Notamacropus eugenii: one gene and its partners. The main gene of each other region encodes a partner of the protein of the gene in region 3 in a complex. Links are inferred from orthologs where the notes say so. Each region holds a gene or a part of one and is shown on either strand. Other genes may lie near its edges. The genes, in order: nucleoside diphosphate kinase A, ANP32A and TREX1.

Evidence for each region.
Region 1: TREX1 (region 3) and nucleoside diphosphate kinase A share a complex: the UniProt entries of both Homo sapiens proteins name them as parts of the SET complex. The link is inferred for Notamacropus eugenii from reciprocal best matches to the Homo sapiens genes TREX1 and NME1.
Region 2: TREX1 (region 3) and ANP32A share a complex: the UniProt entries of both Homo sapiens proteins name them as parts of the SET complex. The link is inferred for Notamacropus eugenii from reciprocal best matches to the Homo sapiens genes TREX1 and ANP32A.

What each region holds. Positions count from the first base shown.
Region 1 is NC_092873.1:361,375,298-361,379,046, forward strand, and holds the start of nucleoside diphosphate kinase A, read left to right. Parts: upstream 1-1,322; 5' UTR 1,323-1,550; intron 1,551-3,749. UniProt on the Homo sapiens protein: Major role in the synthesis of nucleoside triphosphates other than ATP. The ATP gamma phosphate is transferred to the NDP beta phosphate via a ping-pong mechanism, using a phosphorylated active-site intermediate.
Region 2 is NC_092872.1:132,030,458-132,034,206, reverse strand, and holds the start of ANP32A (acidic leucine-rich nuclear phosphoprotein 32 family member A), read left to right. Parts: upstream 1-913; 5' UTR 914-928; coding exon 929-1,093; intron 1,094-3,749. UniProt on the Homo sapiens protein: Multifunctional protein that is involved in the regulation of many processes including tumor suppression, apoptosis, cell cycle progression or transcription. Promotes apoptosis by favouring the activation of caspase-9/CASP9 and allowing apoptosome formation.
Region 3 is NC_092872.1:14,519,065-14,522,485, reverse strand, and holds TREX1 (three-prime repair exonuclease 1), read left to right. Parts: upstream 1-736; 5' UTR 737-856; intron 857-1,639; 5' UTR 1,640-1,643; coding exon 1,644-2,615; 3' UTR 2,616-2,789; downstream 2,790-3,421. UniProt on the Homo sapiens protein: Major cellular 3'-to-5' DNA exonuclease which digests single-stranded DNA (ssDNA) and double-stranded DNA (dsDNA) with mismatched 3' termini. Prevents cell-intrinsic initiation of autoimmunity.

The DNA of each region.
Region 1 (3,749 bases), on a different chromosome or scaffold from region 3:
CTTTTAAAATACTTCAGGATCTATCACTGACCTACCATTCCAGGCATATTAGATGTTATTCCCTTTCACAAATTCTGGAATTCAGTCAAACTGCCCTTTTCTCCATATCTTCTATATGATTTTCTATCTCTAATATGTGCCTTTCATTGAGGCCTCTGCCTTATGGAATACCTAGCTTCTATAAAGGCTCAGCTTGTTTTACCACAGGAGATTTTTCCTAATCTTCCCTGGATGTCAGTGTCTCTTCCCCAACTCCTTCTTCCTCCAATTGCTTTTTCTTTAACTTTGTACATATTTTACATTTTCTTCTGTGTACATTTTGTTTCCCATGATGGGAAGTAAGCTAGGGAACAGGCAGTTTAATCATTTAAGTCTTTTCATCCCCAGCAGTTGGCAAACAGTAGGCACATAATAAATGCTTGAATCGACTCACATACAATTACACAGAGAAGTAAATAATTTCAAGAGTGTTTCTTTGACGAAAAGGAAGGCGTGGATGAGGTGAGATGTGTATTTGATACACAGAAGACAGCCTGTGCAAAGGCACCAAGAGCAGGGATGGAATCCCACGTTTGGGGGAACAGTCAGCAATCTACTTATCCAGCACCAACATGTCTTCGTTGTTGTTGGGTCCTGTTGCACTCCTCATAACCCCCTTGACCACCTGTCCATGAGGGCTGCTTGGCAAGGATACTGGAGTAGTTTCCCACTTCCTTCTCCAGTTCTACGCAGGGAAGGGTTAAGTGACTGGCCCAGGGTCATACAGCTTGGGTCTGACGTTGATTTGGAACCCAGTGCTCTCCCCACTGCACCAACATGGCAGGCACCTTCTTGGTTACGGAAGGTTCAATACAAAGAATGACGTAATCGCTACTTATAATTCAGCTATTAAAAGTGCAACAAGGCTTTTGGGCCATCGAGGGTACGTGTACAAATACGTACTAAGATACCTATTTCTCTAGCGCACAGACACAAGGCGTGTGGAGGAGGAGCAGGCAGAGGCGGCTCCGGGCAGACAAAGAACAGGCAGCCGCGGGAGTGGGGGTGGGGGAGGGGAAGGCCCCGGATGGGGCCGAGGAACATTACGGGCCAGGAAAGTGGGAGGGTGAAGCACGGAAGGTGCGGCCGGGACACCAAGTGCACGGTTGTAAGAGCGACTGCCGAGTTCCGGGCCAGGGATGGCGCCGTCGTGCGGGCCCTGGCAGGGTGAGGAGGGGAGGGCCTGTAGGGTGGAGCCAGGAAGACCGCAGGAAGGGAGAAAGCCACGATACTCGCCCCACCCTTCTCCTCATCTGGGCGGAACAGGAAAAAGCGGACTACACCGGAAGTAGTCATCCGCAGGAGAGCGTCGGGAAATGGTATCCTCTCTACGCAGACTACGCTAAGGGGGCGGGGAGTAAAGGAAAGCGTCCGGTGCTCGTCAGAATCGGCTCCCGGGATCCCTAGACTTAAGCGGAAGCGTTCCGCGCTCGGTTCGCAGAGGACCACGTGGCGCCGGGACAGCTTCTGGGCAGGTGGAACCAGGACGCGGGTACAGACTGCGGGTCCAGGTGAGGGGAGCTCCAGGGGCGCGGAAGTCAAGGGCTCGGGCAGCTTTTGTCGGCGGGGATTCCCGGGGAGCAATCTGAGCCCCAGCCCGGTTCCTCTCCGCTCTGTCCCCGCATTAGAGCCGCACAGCCCAAGTGTTGATCCCCGGAGAGGGCTGGGACTCGGGGATGTCCCTAAACCTGGGGCGTTGGGGTTCCCCTTGGGGTCGTAGGTTCGTGGGCCTGGAGCTGGATGGGATGGGGGGGTAGCTGACTCAGCATCGTCATTTTACGGATAGAGAAACTGAGGCGTACGGAGGCGAAGTGACCGGCCCAAGGTCCCATGGACCTCTACCTGCATCCCCTTCCCGGGATCCTTCTTCCCTTCTTTGCTAGTCACCATGTCAGCGTACACTTGGTTCCTTTTTTCCCTCTCTCTTTTAAGGTCCCTTTTACTTGTGAAATTGACAAGCACGAACACTTCCTTATACAGAGCACACAAAAAGGCTTGTGGGTCACACGCTGCCAAAATCTATTTAAAAATCTGGTATTTATATGGCTCTTTAAGATGCTGTACAAATATTTTGTCCTCACAGCGACCCTGGGAAGTAGGTGCTACTGTAGTCCCCATTTTACACATGAAGAAACTGAGGAACACAGGTTAAGTGACATGGCCCAGGATCACACTATTAAGCGTCTGAGGCAGCGTTGGAGCTCAGGCCTTTCTGGCTCCAGTTCCAATGCTTTCTCCGTTGGATCCCTTTGCTATTTTAAGTATGATTTAAAAAAATATATATATTGAATTTTACTCAGAAGGTCCATCATCACTGCTTCTCTTGCCTGTGTTTCATTCTGAACTTGCTTCTGCCTCTTCTCTGTGTTTTTAATGTCTGACACCCCCCCTTCCGCATTTTTGTATTACTGTTACTACCCTTTTAATTTTTTTCCCTGCTACACTCCAGGAAAGTAAAATAAGTAATGGTCGAGCAGAAAGGAACCATAAATTGACTGTCTGAAAATGTTTGTCTCACTCCGCACCTCACGTCTGGCTATTGTCTGCCCAGAGGTTGGATGAATGTGCTATCCCAAGTCTTTTGGAGTAATAATTAGTCATTGTATACTTATTCACACTTTTTTGTCCTTTACAACGTTGTTATCATCGGATACATTGTTCTCTTGGTGCAGCTCTCTTCATTTTGCGTCATTTTTACAATTATTCCCAGCTTTCTCTGAATCAGTTCCTTTTATCATTGCTTTTGCTATAATACTATTCCATTACCTTATACCGTAGTTTCTTCAGCCATTCCTCTTTTGATGGGCACCCAGTTTGTTTACAGTTCTATACAACAACCAAAAAGTGCTTCTATAAATATTTTGTGCACATGGGTCCTTCCCCTCTTTTATACATGTGTGTGTATATAGATATATATACATATATCTATATACACACACATACACATATACATACATATAGTCAAAAGGGTTTTAGATGACAACCTTTTCTTTTGCTCTAAGGGAAGGAGGGATAGATTGGGAAGAAGGAGACTCAAGTCCCAAAACTGACTGCTACCAGCTTGCTTTGTGATTTGGGACAAGTCACTTTGATTCTTTGGGCCTTGGTTTCCACATCAGTAAAATGCATGGTTTGAACTTGAACTCTGAGGTCTTCAATCTCTAAATGTTTATGAGAATTCTTAGAGTTATATAGAATAGGATCTATACCACAGGCTTTTCTTACATCATTAGATTTGGTAGATATGTAATTTCATCTGTTTCCCCCATCTCCCTCTTCTCCCATCATGCAGATAGCAAGGCTTAGGGGCTGAAAAATTCATCACCTGTTGGCTAGCCTCCTTGGTGAAGAGCTGTTGTACACTCAGCTACACTGATACCAAGGGGAAGTTAGATAATTAGCACCTGTACTCAAAGATATTCCAGCTTGGTTGGTCATGTCACAGCTTGCTTTCCCCAGGTGTAGCACCCAGGGTCACCTCTGCACCATGAGGCATCATCATAGGATTTGAATGGAGCACCACAAACTCACTTGTTTTGTACTACCTTGTATTGCCTTCTGGTTCAGTGTATGCTACTGTTGTCGCCTACAGATGAGTATAATTTAAGGTAGGGAGTGAAAGGGGAAAAGGATAGGTAGATTTGTCTGAGAAATCAAGGCAGGGATGATTTGTTGCTACTTTTATTTTCTTTCCCATAGTTATTACAGTT
Region 2 (3,749 bases), about 120 Mb from region 3:
TGTTTTGTGCCCATGCTGTCATAACGCAGTTGTGTACACTCTATTTGCGTGTTTTATGGTTTGTTAGACGAGGGGGGCTGCTCATCGAAAGGGAGAATTACCATAAATATTTTGGTTATGTTTTCACATCACATCTTTGGATAACTGCTCTAAGGGTTAGGGCATGGGGGAAGGGGGGTGCCGCGTGTAGTCTACACGGAGACTGGTCTGGCCACCTACTTTAACGACCCCCACCCAGCCACAGATAAGACCTAGAGCTACGTTCCCTGGTGGGGGGGAGGGGCCGAGGACAGCGTTGGGCGATGATGTGGATCAAGGAGTGGGTTCTAAAAACATGCTTAACCAAATGGAAGAGAGATTGGGGAGCGAATAGAACCCGCTCTTTAAACTTCACAAAGTCTTCGTGTCTTATGTTGAGGGGGGAGGGGAATACGACGCGCATACTAAACGATATTTCACACGCGTCCTCCCTCCCCCCACCCCGTACCCTTCGTATCCTTTTTTCCCCAGATCCCCGCTTCACTCCAGTGGGGAGTGGTTGGGCATTAGTGGGGGAGGAGGGGGGCAGTTTGCTTGTTGTTTGCTAAGAAAACAGGGTAATAAGAGACAAAGGGGGTTGGGAAGGAGAGGAGAGAATTGGGTGCGTGTATTTTTGTTTTCTTTCCGAAAGGATTCGAGAGAGCGCCCCCAGCGCCCCCCCAAACCTCCCCTTCCCCTAGCCCCCCGTACACACCTCCAAATCCTTTCTCAACTTTGTCCCGGGGGCTGGCAACACCGCGTTGAAGCTGAAATAGGACGAGCAGCCATTTTTTCCTGGGTTTCTCCCGTCCCGCCCCCCCCTCCCCCATCGAGCTGCAAAAGAAAAATGCTGGGTTTGAAATGAAGGCGACTGTCTCCATGAGGATTTGGGCGATATTCGGGGCGGGAGATGTGGGACAAGGGTGTGCGTATGTGTCTTAGGGTGGGTGGCGGAGCGAGATGGTTGCCAGCCTTTAAAAATAGTCAATATCCTTTCTCCGGGGCAGCTCGGGAGCCCGGGGGGTTCGAACGGCTCGCACCCCTCTCCTCCCCCGCTCTGAGGTTAAGAAGAGAGGTATACTTTCTGGTTATTGGGGGGAGGTGGGAGAAGGTTGCTCCGGAATTGCAGCGAAGGCTCTAGGGGCGCTTTCACTGCGCTCTGCGTGTGTGTGTAACATGACTGCCAGCGCAGAGAGCTGCCATTTTGTCACTGTGGCTGTTGTCACTGGGGAGAAAATAAAGGGAAAATGCTAAGTCTTGCGCCATCTCCGAAAGCGCACCACAGGACTAGTTTCCAAACGAACTGGCTGATAGTAGAGTGACCGATCAAGAGCTTGGCTGCCTCTGCCTGGTCTTTTTGGGGCCGGAGAGGGTGAAGGAGGAGCCCATATTTCGTGGTTTCTCCGCAGGGACGTCTCCCGCTCCCTTGGAATCGCCCGGTATCTTTAAATGGAATGTCCTGTGTCTTTAAATGGAACGTTGTTGTTGTCCATGTTCTTTGGAGTAGTAACATTGAAAGGATTGAATTTTCTGTGTAGACGGCCACACCGAATCAGGTTCTCTTCCTTCCGAGGTCCTTTCCCTACCCCAATATTTTGCTCTCCTCCTATATTTTTCTCACCCTGAACCTCGGAGTTAACTTTTACATTAATATTGCTTCTTTAGAAAAAAACAAAACCTGACATTATTATTTCACTGGAATTGACCAAAGGTGGGGCAAACACGATCTTTTTCTTTCTTTTTTGGGGGGTGGGGTGGGGTGGGGGGAGACGTGAAATGCACAAGACTTTTGATCTCTGATGCCCGCAGCAGCAGCAGCAGCAGCCGCTTCCTACGGGAGGGAACGAATTATTGATGAGTTGGGAAAACGCCTTCCTGGGCTGGGCTCTCCGGGAAGGTAGGTCGCGTTCTTTCTGTTTCTAGTATGTTATAACAGCGCCTCCGCTGGCTGTCAGCGTTTAGTGAAAGTCCTGGAGTCCTCCCTCCCTCCGCCCCTCCTTTTGCTTTGGAGGAGATTAAGGTTATGAATATTTCTCTTAAACTAAAAGGAAATAGGATATTTTTTAAAAGCAGACAAAATCCTTATATTAATAGGTCTTCCTCTTGTTTATTTTCACAGAGCAAAATTAGTGTTGACTGCTCTTGAGTTGAGGCACTTTTCAAACGGCAGCATTCTTTTTGGAAGGAAGGCTCTTCTGTGAGGCTTGACTAGCCAAACATCTTACAGGTTAAAATATCTGAGTTGCAACTACCTGTTGCCAGATCCTTTGGTTGTGAGTGAATGAGCTTTCTTGGGAACACATAAATCTAGGGCTATGCAGTTCTCCTATTGACATCAAATGAGAGGAGTCCCCTTTTGCAATAATGAAAGAAAACTATTATTAGGCTGTAGAATACATCATAGGATGGTTTTATAGCAATCTTAGTTACCTAGTTATATTTCATCTGGGCTGATGATTATATTCCCGGAATATTTAGAAGCTTTGGGACCCAGGATTCTTAAGATCATTGGAAGTTTTGAAGGGTGGGTTGGGAACAAAGCAGATATGAAATATTGCCATAGACAATTGGAGATTGACTCTATAAACATAGACACACTTATTTGTTTTATTTTTATAGTGATGAAAGGAATAGATGGTATTTATAGGGGAAAGGTGACAAGATTCTCTCTATATATACATATATCCTGAAGGTCTGAAATTTAGTGGAAAAAAAAACCCAGGAAAATATTACTAGTTAACTTGCATTGGGAGAAGCCCTCTTGTATATTTTTGAGGGAAATGAGTTTGGTTAAGTTTATGATTTTCTGGATGTAACAGTACTTTCAATTAAGTGGCTAACTGATCCAGATTCTTCAAAGCAGAAGCAGTCACTGACTTCAGTCTCCTTCCAGTACTTCTTCATTCTCCCACTACAGTACAGGTGCATTGATACTTCAGAATAAAAGCTCTGTGGGGTTTGGCATCCAGAAAAAGCCTAGGAATAGCTCTTGGGCAATACCTTTTTAATGAAGATTTGAGCATAGCGTATATGGGGTAGGAAAAAGTATGTATTCTGACAAATTCAATCAGTAAGCACGTAGTAAGTGCCTGCTGTGGGTAGGCAGAGGGCATACAAAGACAAAAGTGAAACAGTCCCTGCTCTCAAGGGGTTGTGTTTTTTATGTAAATTTCTTATGTAAATTGCCTGTATAGCACCTTAATAAATGATTGTTGAATTGCCACCTAACCTAGGCAGGACTTTCCCCTTCTCTTCTAACCTTCCTTAGAAAGGTTTCTTTTTCATCTCTGATGGTCTTATTTGGGTGCAGGTGAGGGGAAATGCCTACAGTAATTTAGCTGGTAGCTATCTGGGATTTCTACTGAGTAAGCCTTCAAGATCCACGGATCAATTCTTATTGACTCCTTTTGGAGGCATGACCTAAGCCACTGAAGACTGATAATCTGTGCCAATACTTAAAGAATCTCTGGAGGAGCCACCACCACTTTAGGCCTAAATCAGGTCAACAAGTCAACAAGCATTTATTAAACACCTACTTTTGCCAGCACTGTGTTAAGTATTGGGCATACCAAAAACAACAAAAAATACATAGGACTCCTTCCCATTGCCCATCACCCCCATTAAAAAAAAATATTTTCTAAAGGAGCTCACAATCTAATGGAGAAGACAGTTTGCAAATGACTATGTACAAACAGGCTATATACAGGATAAAATGAAAATAATCTCACAAG
Region 3 (3,421 bases):
TTAAACACAAGAAGTCCATCCCCCCACAAAGACACTTGGTGCCCCCCTATTTGTGCTGTAGAGCATCTCCAGACCAAGTTGAGGTTTCTACTTGTATCAAAAGTAATGCACTACATCCTCCCCATGTAGCCTGTCTCCACTTTGCCCTTCCCTGGATAGAAAGAACATGCCAGGGCCCAAGAAAAGTTGATGGTCCAGCAAGACACCTGTGTACTCTATGAGTAGGTCACACCTTCCTCCTGTCTTCACCACAACCATTCCCCCACCCCACATGTAAATGCACTGCCCATTAGAAGTCCAGTGAGCTTTGGGAAACAACTATAATTCCTAAGTGGGTCCCACCTTGATTTCCTGGAATTCCCAAGGAAGCCCGCTCTAGACTGGATGCCAGTTCTCTGGTGCCCTGGGCAGATGCTGGGAACGCTGCCAGTCATCACGGTCAGGCACTGCACCAATCTTCATTCCCCAACAGAGCAACGCTGTGCCAGAGACATTCCTGGGAGATAGGGCTCGTGCCGGGTTGGGGCAGGTCCCAGGGCCCAGAAGGACCTTATTCTGCCAAGCTCTGGGCCCTCGGTCTCCAGACGGGTCCTGCCATCCCAGAGCCCCGGAAGCCTGGCTGGGAAGAGCCGCTCTCCCGGTGCCCGCCGGCTGATAGACAGGCTCTCCTCCAGGTTGGGAGGGGCTGGGGGCGGGTCCGCGCCCCGTTGTGGGTGCTGGGGGGCGGAGCATGGGCGGGGCTCGGCCCCAGCTGGAGGGTGCGCTTTCGTTTCCCCCAAGCCGATCCTGGCGAACTAGAACTTCCCCGAAGTCCCAGCCTGCCCGTGGTGCCCAGTCCTCTCCTCCGATCCGGCCGGTGAGTAGATCACGGGCCCCGCAGGTACATCCCGGGGAGGGGAGCCCGGTGAGGCTCCGGGATGGAAACCTGGCCCATGCTGGCGTGGGGAGGAGGAGCCCGGGCGGGGCCGGAGCCAGGGAGGACGCTCGGCGATTCCACTGCAGAGCCGTGCCCTCGGGGAGGGCACGAGGTGCCCCAGAAGGCCCTTCCAGCCCTAGAGCCCCCGGGATCCTGGGCTCCCCCGGCCCCAGATCCCTGCCCCCCAAGCTGGGCCCGGCCTGGCTGGCAGCTGAAGCCACGCCCAGCAATCCGGGCCTCGGTCTGAGTCAGCCCCCCACCCCCGCCCTGGCTTGGGGGCCCCCCACCCCGCCCTGGCTCGGGGGCCCCCCCACCCCGCCCTGGCTCGGGGGCCCCACTGCCTCCCTGGGCCCCCTGCCTCGCTGCCCTGGCCCTTACTGGCCCCGCGGCTCTGTCTTCTAGGAGTCCCCCTGAGGTAGATCCCCCCCACGCCCCAGATCCGTGAATTGCGGGCCCCATGTGGCTGGCTCTCCACCTCCACCCCCAGCCCCCACCCCCGGCCCAGGAGCTCCGGAGCCGGCTCTCTCCCTCCGTGTTCCCCACGTCCCCCAAATCCGGGCTTTGCGCTTCCAGCCGCGCAGCTCCTCGCCTCGCCTTCCCAGACCCACGAGGGGCATGCACCTCCATGGCCGCCTCCACCTTTGCTCCCTGCGCCCCACCACCCCGGCTCCGCGCCCCTCGGGCCTCTCCATTCCCCTTCCCCTTCCCTCACTGTCTTCCCAGGTCCATGGGTTTGGAAGCTGCCTCCTCTAGGCCCATGGAGACGCTTGTCTTCATGGACCTAGAAGCTACGGGACTGCCATTCTCTCAGCCCAAGGTCACGGAGCTGTGCCTGGTGGCCGTCCACAGACACGCCTTAGAGGGGCCCCCAGCTGCACCTCCCGCAGGGGGCTCTTCCCAGGTGCCACAGCCACCCCGGGTGGCCGACAAGCTCTGCGTGTGCGTGGCACCGGGAAAGGCTTGTAGCTCCGCAGCCAGCCACCTCACCGGCCTGAACACGGCCATGCTGACTGCCCACCGAAGGCGAGGCTTCGACTCCGGCCTCGTTGACCTGGTCCAGGCCTTCCTTCAGCGACAGCCACCCCCTGTGTGCCTTGTGGCCCACAACGGAGACCGCTTTGACTTCCCCCTGCTGCAAGCTGAGCTGAGCTGGGCCCGGCGCGATGCCCTGAGGGGTGTCTTCTGCGTGGACAGCATTGCCGCCCTGAGAGCCCTGGACCGCTCTGGGCCATCCCGTGAGTCCAGCCAAAGGAAGAGTTACAGTTTGGGTAACGTGTACAGCCGCCTGTACGGCCAGGCCCCACCGGACACCCACACAGCTGAGGGTGACGTCCTTGCCCTGGTCAGCATCTGCCAGGCCAGGCCCCAGCCACTGCTGCACTGGATTGACACGCATGCCAGACCTTTCAGCAGCGTCAAACCCATGTACGAAGCCGGAGCTGGGACGGACCAGGGAGCTGCCTGTGATACAGAGACAAAGACTGAACGCCAGAAGGTTCGAGCGGCCACCAAGCTGGCCACATCAGGGGATACCAGCCCAGCTGGCAGGAAGAGGAGACCTAGATCAGAGGCTCCCTCCCGCTCGGGGAGTATCCCTGCGACCTCATGTTTGAACACATTCCATCTGCTGGCAACGTTAGTCCCCCTGGTTGTCTTAACCTTGGCAGTAGCTCTGTACTGGGTACCCTGGTCATTCTAACCATGTCATTCACATTGTCCTGGGTACCCCTTGATCTCATCCAGACTTTGGGTGGGGGATGTGCTGTTATTGTCAGGTCCTCCAAAGGAAAGGCTGATGGATATGTTGTAAGACAAACTTATAAATAAAGATTACACTTGGCCTGGACGGTAGGAACCCAAGGGGCCTCATCCAGCAGCTTGTCTGGCCTGTCTTTGTGGTAGCCCACCTTCCAAAGTCTATTGGATGGGGATGACCAACTAGACACACCCTTCCGGGCAAGGTGGAATTGGGAGAATTATATTTAGTAAATCTAAAGAGGGAAGTGAGAAGGATCTGGTTACCTCTCAGGCCAGGACCAAAGCCCTCCCACCAGTTGTCCTACACAGGGGCTCAACATGGAGCAAACTCCAAGCTTTATTTAGTTTCAGTCTGAGGGGACACATCTGGCCTCAGAGCCGCCATCTGAAGGCAGAGAGAATTTAGCTTTCAGAGATCTCCTGATCTCTAGGGGGCAAATTACAGGGCCCTCCAAATCTAATCTGACCACAGGTGACAAGTCACAGGGCTAATCTGGAAATCAAGAACCCTCCCTGAGAGAGGCCCCCAATCTAAGCGAACCAACCTAATATCATTCCCAGTGACTGGGACCCAAAAGCTCCTTTAAATCCTGATACCCCACCACCACCTTTGAAGTTACTGAAGAACAGTCATTTTCAAATCCATAGGTTTATTACAAATAGAAGCCTGGCCCAAACTGGAACAGGCCCCTTCACAGAACACACAGAGACAATAGATTACAAATGCTAACAAGAGTGACCAAAGGA